3 linked regions of the Sus scrofa genome follow. The protein of the gene in region 2 interacts with the protein of the main gene of each other region in a biochemical or structural test. Links are inferred from orthologs where the notes say so. Each region holds a gene or a part of one and is shown on either strand. Other genes may lie near its edges. The genes, in order: SAFB, ESR1 and SP1.

The links.
Region 1: the proteins of ESR1 (region 2) and SAFB form a complex in vitro, tested with the Homo sapiens proteins (2 studies listed by BioGRID). The link is inferred for Sus scrofa from reciprocal best matches to the Homo sapiens genes ESR1 and SAFB.
Region 3: the proteins of ESR1 (region 2) and SP1 form a complex in vitro, tested with the Homo sapiens proteins (6 studies listed by BioGRID and IntAct). The link is inferred for Sus scrofa from reciprocal best matches to the Homo sapiens genes ESR1 and SP1.

The regions. Positions count from the first base shown.
Region 1 is NC_010444.4:73,331,524-73,335,270, reverse strand, and holds the start of SAFB (scaffold attachment factor B1), read left to right. Parts: upstream 1-884; 5' UTR 885-886; coding exon 887-1,249; intron 1,250-3,747. Other genes in the region: SAFB2 (scaffold attachment factor B2), read right to left, coding at 392-577. UniProt on the Homo sapiens protein: Binds to scaffold/matrix attachment region (S/MAR) DNA and forms a molecular assembly point to allow the formation of a 'transcriptosomal' complex (consisting of SR proteins and RNA polymerase II) coupling transcription and RNA processing.
Region 2 is NC_010443.5:14,372,596-14,376,243, reverse strand, and holds part of ESR1 (estrogen receptor), read left to right. Parts: intron 1-1,935; coding exon 1,936-2,271; intron 2,272-3,648.
Region 3 is NC_010447.5:18,587,456-18,591,203, forward strand, and holds the start of SP1 (transcription factor Sp1), read left to right. Parts: upstream 1-1,307; 5' UTR 1,308-1,485; coding exon 1,486-1,492; intron 1,493-1,994; exon of another isoform or gene 1,995-2,396; intron 2,397-2,572; coding exon 2,573-2,727; intron 2,728-3,060; coding exon 3,061-3,748. UniProt on the Homo sapiens protein: Transcription factor that can activate or repress transcription in response to physiological and pathological stimuli.

The sequences.
Region 1 (3,747 bases), on a different chromosome or scaffold from region 2:
CTCTCCAAGACAGAAAACCTCAAAGGATCTTTCTCTCTTGGATCTCCAAGACAAGAAACAAGAGCAAGTAACGGAAAGCACTTGTCCAAGGTCACACAAACAGTCTCCAACCCAAACCCCGGGTGCAGTCTAGAAGCCACCCTGCAGCTATAGTGGGCTTTCAGCGCTCTTGAAACGACTAACTAGAAAAAAAGGAGGAGGTAAGACACAGAGAGAAGCGGTGACGAGCCAAGGTCACACAGCCGGATCCCCGCGGTCCCTGACAGCTCGGGCTGGGTTCGGCCACGAGAAGCGGGCCGGAGGCGCCCCGGGCCCGGGAGTCACGGTGACAGGCCCGCTCGGGGGCGTGCCCCAGCTTCCTGCGCCACCCCAGGGCCCCTGGTTGCCTCACCTTCTTGAGTCGCTCCATCAGGACGCTCTTGTTGCCACCCGTGTCCAGGTTCCGCTTCTTCAGCTCCGCCCGCAGATCGATCACCCGCAGATCGCTGAGCCGCCGCGTCCCGGCTTCTGAAGCGCCCGAGACGACACTGGCCGTGCCAGAACCCGAGTCACCGGACCCTGCCGGAGACTCCGCCATCCCGGGCACCCCGTCTCCGCCACCTACTCCTCACACCGCCGGCGGCAGTAGCGGCTCTGAACACAAAATGGCGCCGCCGGCGAGGAAAACGCACTCGCTTCCTCCCGCCCAGTTTTTCCGGCAGCGCATGCGTGCGGCCCCTACCGGGATTCTTAGCAGCAAGCACGCTAGCGCGTCGACCAAACGCACGTGACCCGGCACAACGCGCAGGCGCCGTAACTGCAGTACGCATGTGTGCCGGCTGATCGCGGCGGGAGGCCAGCAAAACGCAACACGCCTGCGCGCAGTTCCCCAAGTCTCTCACCACGCATGGGCAGACGCGACCGGGAGCGTCGAACCCGCGCCGGGTGCGCCTGCGCAGGAGCGAGGCGCGCCGGGGCGGCTGGAGCGGTTCCCTCGCAGGCGGCGCCATTTTGTGCTAGAAGCCGAGATAAATCCTGCCCGGTTCTGTGTGAAGTGGGCGGCGGAGCCAGGGTCCCTGGAATGGCGGAGGCTCTGTCAGGCCTAGGCGATTCGAGTGCGGCGGGCGCAGCCGCTCTGAGTTCCGCCTCGTCGGAGACCGGGACGCGGCGCCTCAGCGACCTGCGGGTGATTGATCTGCGGGCGGAGCTGAGGAAACGGAATCTGGACTCGAGCGGCAACAAGAGCGTTTTGATGGAGCGGCTCAAAAAGGTGGAGCCGGGGCCTTGGGGGTGGGCAGGAAGTGGGTTGGGGGACCCCGGCAGCCACGACGGTGGCGTCCTGGCCTCGGGGTCCGCCCCCGGCCCTGTCTGCGGCCTGCTTTGGGCCTGGCGCTCAGCGCTTCTCCCGGCTTCTCTCTGGCTCCGGCGGGAGCTCCAGGTTCGAAGTCTAGAGTCGCATCGGGGCGAGACTGGGGAAGCGAACGGGGGAAGTTTGGGGTGACGGGTGACATCGGCTAAGGCCTGTGTTTTCCGCATCATTCACTGTTTTTTAGGGATTTTTTTTTTGGTTGGTTTCATCCCAGTCTGCGAAAGTGGACGCGGAACCTTGAAATCCTCATTTCCTCCGCGGCGTGGGGACTGGGCCAAGGTCATTCGACCCGAGTGGGGAGGTGGGGATTTGAACCCAAGCCGTCTGATTCCCTGAGCCCGTGCGGGCCGCGCGGTTCTCCTTTGGGAAGATAGATGCTCCTTGATCCGTTATGGCCTAGAAGCCTTGAATGAACTGTTAAAGTAATCGTTCCGAAAAAAATCTTCCAAGAGAGAGAAAAAACGGCTTAGGGACCTTCCAGCACGGACTCGGGGACACAGCATGCAAAGGGAAGTGCAGTTAGCAATCGCGAGATAGAACATAGAGGGTTGGGGAGAGATCAGGCCCCTGCCAGGCCCAGGGGCCTGATCTTGGGCATGGAAGACATTTACTACCCCTTCTCGATCCTGTTTCTTTTTGTGTTCGAAGAGGAAAGTAATAGTTCTTCCGTGCTAGGATTAAGTAAGATGGCATGAAACAGGCTTGGCGTGTTGCCTAGCACATGTAAACACTCAGAGGTAGTAGGATCGCTGTTACAAGTCACTTTTCTTTCTGTGCCACCGTTTGATATTGGCAAGCGGCAGAGGGTGGTTCTAACCCCTGTCTTGAGGGGTTCTGAGGGATGCGTGTGAAGAGCAGTGAGTTTAAGTAAATGTTGGCGCCTTTCTGTTTCACCCTATGGTTTGCTTTATTCCTGTGGCTTCTTTCTTTGCCTTTTTGCAACCTAGAGACACTTGTCTTGGGTCTTCCGTGTAATCGCTAAGCCTTGCCACTTAATCCAACACCCCCCACCCCACCCCCAAGCCCTCCAGACGGTGCGGTTTGTGACTCATTCCACCCTCCTGCCTCCCAAACAACTGAGGATTGGGGGGTTATTTATTAATTGCTATTTAGAGGAAATGGGGATTATTTTCTATTATCTGGTTGAGAAGCTCAGGCTTGGGAGTGGTGAATTACTTCCCTTGAGTCAGTTGGGTCTAACTCAGAAAGCCTGTGTTTCTTTCAGTATGGATACTAACTTCCTTTACTCAGACAGGTTAGGCATTTGATTAAGATGTTTACCTGGAAAAGATGCAAGCAGGATGAGGGTTGAAGGCACCGCCCCCTGCCCCCCCATCCATGTCGTTAGTAGCCTCCAGGACCTCTTGTCAACAAAGCCAAACTGGGGGGGGGGGGTATCCTTTTTCCCTTAGTCTACAAGCCTGCAATGCTGATAAGATGGCACTGAACCTTCCTGTCAGGCTGGTGGTTGAGACTGGTGTGTGACTTCAGAAATCTTCTGTCACTAGCATCTCTGAGGGGATAGATCCATCTTTCTTCCTTTTCCGTTTTCTAGGGATGTGCTCAAATTACAAAAATACTATGAGTGTACACACCTATCTGCCACTCTGCCCAAGCAAATCTGGGAGTACTGATGTTTTTCTCTTCTACGTCTATCATCTAGTTTTTCGTTCCTTTGTTTTTTTTTTTGTTTTTTTTTTTTTTTTTTAGGAAGGGCAAAAGAGGGAAAGGTGGGGGAACACACAAACTGTAATTTGCTGAGGCCCAAAAGAATCAGTCATAGCCTATAGTCCCCCCTAGGGATGATGCTATAAACACTACACCCAGAGATACACTGAGGGTCAAACTGGTACATCTGTCTGAGGTAGTTCTTGTACCAGAATCTTGGTGTTCCAGAATCTTCTTTCCCCAGGAAGAGGGTGAGGAACTTTCTGTTTGTGCTTTCCTTGATCCCAGGAGATAACTCAGTCTTCTGGTTCTGGCTTCAGAGAAAAGGGAGAGATTTTCTTTGTTTCTGGTAGAGAGTAGGTATGGAGCCCCCTAGCCCCATTCTAAATTTAGACTGGGAGACTCCCGAGAATCTTTGAAGCTGTTTACAAATAGTCTTTGAAATGGGTTTAAACAGAACTATTGTTCACAGGATAGTCTGGTAGAGAAAGGGTTAACAAAATATAAATGTGAAACTCGGTATCTCAGGATGTCAGCATTGACAAGTTCAGTTTTATTTTTTTTTTCTCCAGAGTGCCTCCTTGGTGCCTGGCACAGTGCTGAGCATGAGTGGGGGCTGTTCAAGTAAACAGTGGGCTTTTGGAGTGGGAGGTGAGACTTGCCTAGAGAGCCTTATAATTCTGTATCTGATGAAACAGGTCCCCTAGTGGCTGAGAGTGAGACCTTTGGAG
Region 2 (3,648 bases):
TACAATTTTAAAGTCTTCCTTTCAGAGCTAGGATCTTGAATCTTACTTAACAGAGAATGATCTCAGACAAGTTCATTAAACTTTCAAAACAGCGGTTTTCCTGTATTTACCTTACAGGATTATTGTGAAAACTAAATTAGTTGTAAAATGGTTACGTGTAAAGTGTATATAAGGTGCTTAAAACACATGGCACATGCTCAGGGCCCGTCAGTGCTAATAATCTTTACAATTATTACTTATCCCAAGAGCTCTGGGAAAGGCTTCGTTTAATACTGAACAAATAGGAATAGGATCTGCGGCTTCATTAAATTTTTAATATCTTCTAACATATCTAATCTAGACCTAAAAGAATAAAAGTTACACATAAAAAATTCACTATTGATGAGAGTTCCTTGTGCGGCAGTGGGTTAAGGCTTCGGCATTGTCACTGCTGTGGCGCCAGCTGAATCTCCAGCCCTGGGATTTCCACATGATATGGGCTCAGCCAAAGGGAAAAAAAAAAAAAATTCACCACAGAACATTTGTTCAAATCCCTTAACAAATTAGAACAAAACAGAACAAAATTCTGACATTAGTTTTTCATTTGTTTCAGAGTGAGAGAACAAGTGATGTTATAAAGAGTGTTTACTTCTATCTTTAATATTAAAAATAATTGTATTAACTTTTTACTAAACTGACTATTTCTTTTATGTATAATCGAAGAACTCTTGCTGTCTGATGTATTTTGGAGAGATTAGAGTTTTTGAAAATATGGAAGCTTGTGTTAATTTTTGCCCTTTAAAATGCATGTTTCGGTTGATAGATTTTAACTTCACAGCCTGGCCTTTTCCAGGTTAAGATGTTGAGCCAAACTTCCAAGAATGTCTGCCAAAGAGATTGGAGCCTCCAGTCCCCCATAATCTAGTTAGTGAGAACCACAGCTGGGTAAATCTTTGGGGGAAAACTATTTTCAACTATTTGAAAACTTTTATATTAGGAAAATGGAAATACATTTGTAAAAACCTTACAACCAAGGAAACAAGTTGAGGGTCTTGGCTCAGTCGCTTAGGTGATGAAGTACCGCTTAGTAGCAATGAAAGCCTGACTGAACGCTGGTGGGGTCCAAAGGCTGTCAGATGTGTTTTGGATAAGTCATTCCCCCTTAGTGTCTTGCCATCAAGAAGTCAACAGGACGATAAGGATGTTTATTAAGTGCTTTTCTCGAATGCCTTTTAAATTTGCTATTAAAAGAATATTCAAGAGTTCCCATTGGGGCTCAGTGGGTTAAGAGTCTGACATAGTGTCTGTGAGGATGCAGGCTGGATCCCTGGCCTTGTTCAGTGGGTTAAGGATCGAGCATTGCTGAAAGCTTCAGCATAGGCTGCAGATGCGGCTCAGATCCAGTGTTGGGGTGGCTGTGGCATAAGACTGCAGCTGCAGCTCCAATTCGCCCCTAAACCAGGAACTTCCATATGCCACAGGTGAGGTCCTTAAAATAATAGTAATAACAATAGTAATAATATTCATAGCAGAAGCAATCTTTTATGCTGTCATATTTCAAGAATGGCTAAATACTGTAATGTTGAACTTTTTAATAACATCTGTCACACACACACCCCAGTGGTTTGTTAGAACCAGCTTTTACTGGCTCACAAAAGCCTACTGTTAAATTTTCAGGAGTTTGTATGCTGCTTGATATCAGACAAGTAGCTTGAAATTTGCCATGGTGGGAGTAGTTACACCATGGAAATTGGCAAATGCTACCAATGGAAGTTTTTTTTCCCCCCTCTTGGACAGCTGGTTGTTAAACACCAGCACAACTATGTCCCCAACTATGTCCTTAAATAAAATAAAGGGCTGTGAGCATCGAAGATAGTTGTAGTATGAAAGTTAATATGAGAAAAAGTATAAACTGGCTTTTTTTTTTTTTTTTTTTTTTTTGGTCTGTATTCTCAGGGATACGGAAAGACCGGAGAGGAGGGAGAATGTTGAAGCACAAGCGCCAGAGAGATGATGGAGAGGGCAGGAATGAAGCGGTGCCCCCTGGAGACATGAGATCTGCCAACCTTTGGCCAAGCCCTCTCTTGATTAAACACACTAAGAAGAACAGCCCGGTCTTGTCCCTGACAGCCGACCAGATGATCAGTGCCTTGTTGGAGGCTGAGCCCCCCATAATCTATTCCGAGTATGATCCTACCAGACCCCTCAGTGAGGCTTCAATGATGGGCTTGCTGACCAACCTCGCAGACAGGGAGCTGGTACACATGATCAACTGGGCAAAGAGGGTGCCAGGTAAGAACATGAAGCTCAACTTTTATTTTTAAGGGCCATTAGCTATTCATGAACTGGTCGTGATAGTGTGGGGACAATGGCTTGTGATCTAATCAGTTTCAAGGTTACATCAGGATTTGTTAATTTTCAGTGTCAGTACACTGTAATTCTCCTGAAAATTAGGGAATAATGTTTTACAATCAAAATCTAGAGTATTAAAGGCTTTAATCTGACATTATTTTTAACTCATCCTATTCACTAAAAAATCTGGGGTGGACACTCCGTTATAAATGCATTTCATATTGTGTGTTCCCAGTGTCAGAAGTTTTTAACACCAAATGATCTATGCCCTATAAAATTTTAATATTGAGGACTTTCATTCAAAACACCTAAATTATTAATAATCAATTTTACCTTAAAATATTTTCTTTTAAGATGTTTATGGACTAACGAGATAATAATAGGGTTTTTTTTTTTTTTAAACCGAATGCCAATTATTCATTCAACCATCTCTTCTCAATATTTTAGGAGAAAGATAATACAACAGAAAATAAATTAGGTTCTCAGCCCTGAGAGGAGCTTTTAGAAAGATAGCAGTGGCTGAAGTGATACTTGGTCCTTCAGTTGATACTCTCAGTACTGATGTTCCTGTAAACCTTGACTGTTGCTCTTGTTGTTCAGGGAGAAGAACTCTAGTTATTATGGAAACAAGACTAGAAAATGACCTCCTCCATGCCCCATCATATCCATTCAGGAGCTAAGGTAGATGAACCAAGGCAAGAGGAAGTTAAATCTTTTTTTTTTTTTTTATGGGCTTATAGATCAAATAAGTAATGAATTTAGACAGCAATTGTCTTGTTTGCTTTCTTTGAATAGATTAATTATTACCTATGAAGCATGGGATGTTCTTTATCAAACTAAATAAATGTAGAGTTTTGTACTTGCATTTTAGAGTTCACCAACTCTATTAATAGCCCAAGCGAACATATATCTGGCCTTATGTACTATTTCATGTATTTGCATATATTAACATATAAACTTGTAGTCCTTTGAATAAGGAACCAGTAACGTGATCCAAACCTGATATAGGGCATTTATTTAGGTGGCAGAGGTTGGGTTACATGGAAACATGGGAATTAATAAGCATACTTAGATTTTCAGGGTCAGTCCAACTGGCAAATAAAAACTCCCAGCCATCTTTGGAATTAAGTTTATTGAGAACTTACCTACCTTAGCATCCTCATGTGGAGCAGATCTATGACAACTAAATATTAGAATTTAATTATAATATGGTCGTAGGTTTTATCTTTAGATTTGTTACTGCCTTTGTTTTTTAAAACAATACTTTGGGAGAAGAGAAAAAAAAAACAGCAAAAAAAATGGTCATATCCCTGAAAG
Region 3 (3,748 bases), on a different chromosome or scaffold from region 2:
ATTGACAGGCCACGCAGGCTGCCTCCACCAAAACTAGGGTAAAGGAGAGGCAGAATGAGTAGCCAGAAATTCAGGTGTTTCGGGAAAAATCACCTCTAACCTTTGCAGTTGCAAAAAGCAGGCACTCTATCTGGCTACTTGCTTTATGTTTAAACGTTATTTACAATTACGGGGTAGAGGCAGGGGCGGGGGTGGGGTAGCAGCTTACAGGACCTCGAACTCCAGGAAGTCCTCCAACACTCTTTAGCCTCAAAAGCAAGCTCTCGAAGAGTTAACCGGCCTTAAGTAGCTATCAACTTTGGGGGAATTTAGTAAAATGGCGTTTGCTGGAGTCTCACAAAGACCTTGCAAATTGGTCAGTGCGTTATTAACCTACTGTATGAGCGCCCTCGCCAGATCTCCTTGCGCCAGCACCCACAGGGGTTACACCATATTCTGAGGCATCCGCCTGCCAGTCCGCCCACCGCGGAGGGGGGAGACCTGAGAGGTACTTTTAAAAGCGGTTAAGTGAAGACTCAAACAAGCCCTGATGTCGAGGAAGAAATGCGACGCGCCGCGGGGCTCGGCCCTGACACTTGTTGAATTGCAGGGCTCTGCTGAAGCCTTGCCACCTAATCACGGTAAAGACGTCCCCAGAGGAGGGCCAAAATGGCGACGGACTCCTCTTGGCACAGCCCTGTTACCTCCCCGACAACTGGCGCCTCTAGTAACGCCCATTGGCCAAGCCGGAGGCGGTGCCTGGCTTCCCTCGCTGCCTCATTGGGCTGAGTGACTGAAGCAGCCGCCAATTCTCCCCTGCCTACTCCAGGTTCCCGCCCTCACAGTTTAAGCAGCATTCAATTGGCTTTTATTCACGTCAATTTGTGTCCTAGCGCGTCTCTTTTCAGTGTTAATCCAATCATAATTTTCCTGGCCGCCCGCCTGATTTCTGATTGGTTTTGATAAGCTTCATCCTATCCCATTCCTGTCTACTTTTTACCACCTCCCACCAGGACTTTGCCCAGGCTTGCCCAGGGTTTTGGTTGGTCGCTGTTCTGTCATTCCAATGAAAACCCTTCCTATCCCTACGTCTCAGCGAGCCCGCCTGGCAGTTGACTGGTTTCTCTCCAAGCCTATCATCTCTAAATCCCGCCTATCTTCACTTCCTGCACCTTTCATTGGCTTTTAAAACTGAGAGGGCGCCCTTTTTGGGCGGACACCACGCACGCAACTTTGTCTTACACGCCTTAGAGAGCAAACGAGTCTCGCCATTGGGTAATTTGCCTGTCTTTCTTTTGCAAGTCCCTCCTTTCACCCTCCCTTATTGGGCGGGGCAGCAGTGGAGGGGCGGGGCCTAGGCCGGGCTTGTGGCGCGCTGCTCCCTCCTCTTTACCCCCCCCTCCCTGTCCGGTCCGGGTTCGCTTGCCTCGTCAGCGTCCGCGTTTTTCCTGGCCCCCCCAACCCCCCCGGACAGGACCCCCTTGAGCTCGTCCCTCAGCTGCCACCATGAGCGGTAAGGATGAGTCCACTCCAAGCTTAGGGGTGGGAGGGGAGTGAGGGGGCGCGCGCGAGGGCCGACCGGGCGGTCCCCGCCGTGAGGGGGGCGGGCGGGAGGCGGCGGCGGCGGCCTTGGTCCCGCCCGGGGCGGAGGGAAGGGAGGGAGAAGGGGCAGTGGCGGGGCCTCGGAGGAGGAGGGGGATGGGCCGCCCGCCCCGGGGGAGGGGGCAGCGTGGCCTCGCCCGCCCCCTGCCCGCCCCAGCCACGGGGGACGGGCCTTACCCCCCACTACTCGGCCGCCCGCCTGAGGCTCCTCCTGCCGGGGGCTGGAGCCGCGGGGGCGGCCCGAGCAGTGCAGGCCCCGCCCGGGCCAACCGCCTCCCTGGTCCGCCCTCTGGTCGCCGCCGGCCCCAAGGCCCTCCTCCCCCCACCCCCCGAAGGTTACCCCTCCCCCCCGTAGATTACCCCTCCCCCTACCGTCCCGCCCTTTCCACGCCCCTCACCCCGAAACCGCCCTTTCCTTCTAGGGCCCGCCCTCTGTCCGCCCCGAAACTCCTGATTTCTAACCCCTGGACCTCTTTAGCCCCTTTCTAGTATTCACAAATGTTCCCCCCTACAAAACTTTTTATCTCATCTTTTCTCCTTCCCCTTCCTTTCCTCTTGTGACTTTCTACACTTGAATTCTTCCCTTTCTCCATCTCCTTTGACCCTAATTTGAGCAAGCTTTCCATCCACCCACATGTTTTATGCCTTATCTATATTTCTCCTTTTTTTCCCCGCAGGATACTTTTAAACTCCTTCAACATGTCCACGGACCCTTACATTGTCTATACCAAAAGCACCTTTTCATTGTTTTCTGAGTTTAATTTTGTACGAGGGAGAACTGCGGCCCAGTTTTGGCACCAAGGGGCCCAGTTCAGGTCTTCCTAGCCCTACAGCTGTCTCTTCTTCCCCAATCCTTTTTTGTTTGTTTGTTTAAATACTGGGACTTTCACCTTCCTGTTAGTCATTTTTGTTTGGTCCTAGTCTTCCTTACCCTTCTTCATTTTATCTTTTTTCTTTCCCCAACTTTAAGTTATCTTTTAATTCTTTTTAGACCAAGATCACTCCATGGATGAAATGACAGCTGTGGTGAAGATTGAAAAAGGAGTTGGTGGCAATAATGGGGGCAGTGGTAATGGTGGTGCCTTTTCTCAGGCTCGAAGCAGCAGCACAGGCAGTAGCAGCAGCGGTGGAGGAGGAGGAGGGCAGGTAGGTGATCATCTGGACAGAGTGGGCATCGTGTTGAGAGGATGTAGATATTCTTAGATGATTGTCTTTTCACAAAAAAATTTTTAGGAAAGGGCTAATTTACAGATAGGGAAGTAAGTACAGAGACAAGTGACTTGGAGATCCCCAAAGATGAGAATTTCAAATTTCAGCAGTGTAGATAGGTTGGCTTTTTGTTTGCTTGGGGGGGGCACTGTTTTGCTGTTTATTTATTTATTTTGGGTTTTTTTTACTGTTTATTTTTTTCTACTGCCCCCAGGGCTGGCAGCTGGTGTCACTAAACTAATCTCTTTCCTCTCCCTTATTTTTGGCCAGGAGTCCCAGCCATCCCCTTTGGCTCTGCTGGCAGCAACCTGCAGCAGAATTGAGTCACCCAATGAAAACAGTAACAACTCCCAGGGCCCAGGCCAGTCCGGGAGCACAGGTGAGCTTGACCTCACAGCCACACAGCTCTCCCAGAGTGCCAATGGCTGGCAGATCATCTCTTCCTCCTCTGGGGCTACCCCTACCTCGAAGGAACAAAGTGGCAGCAGTACCAATGGCAACAATGGTGGTGAGTCTTCCAAGAATCGCACTGTCTCTGGTGGGCAGTATGTCGTGGCTGCCACATCCAACCTGCAGAACCAGCAAGTCCTAACAGGACTGCCTGGAGTGATGCCTAATATTCAGTATCAAGTAATCCCACAGTTCCAGACGGTTGATGGGCAACAGCTGCAGTTTGCTGCCACTGGGGCCCAAGTACAGCAGGATGGTTCAGGTCAGATACAGATCATACCAGGTGCAAACCAACAGATCATCACAAATCGAGGAAGTGGAGGCAACATCATTGCTGCTATGCCAAACCTACTCCAGCAGGCTGTCCCCCTCCAAGGCCTAGCTAATAATGTACTCTCAGGACAGACTCAGTATGTGACCAATGTACCAGTGGCCCTGAATGGTAATATTACCTTGCTACCTGTCAACAGCGTTTCTGCAGCTACCTTGACTCCTAGTTCTCAGGCAG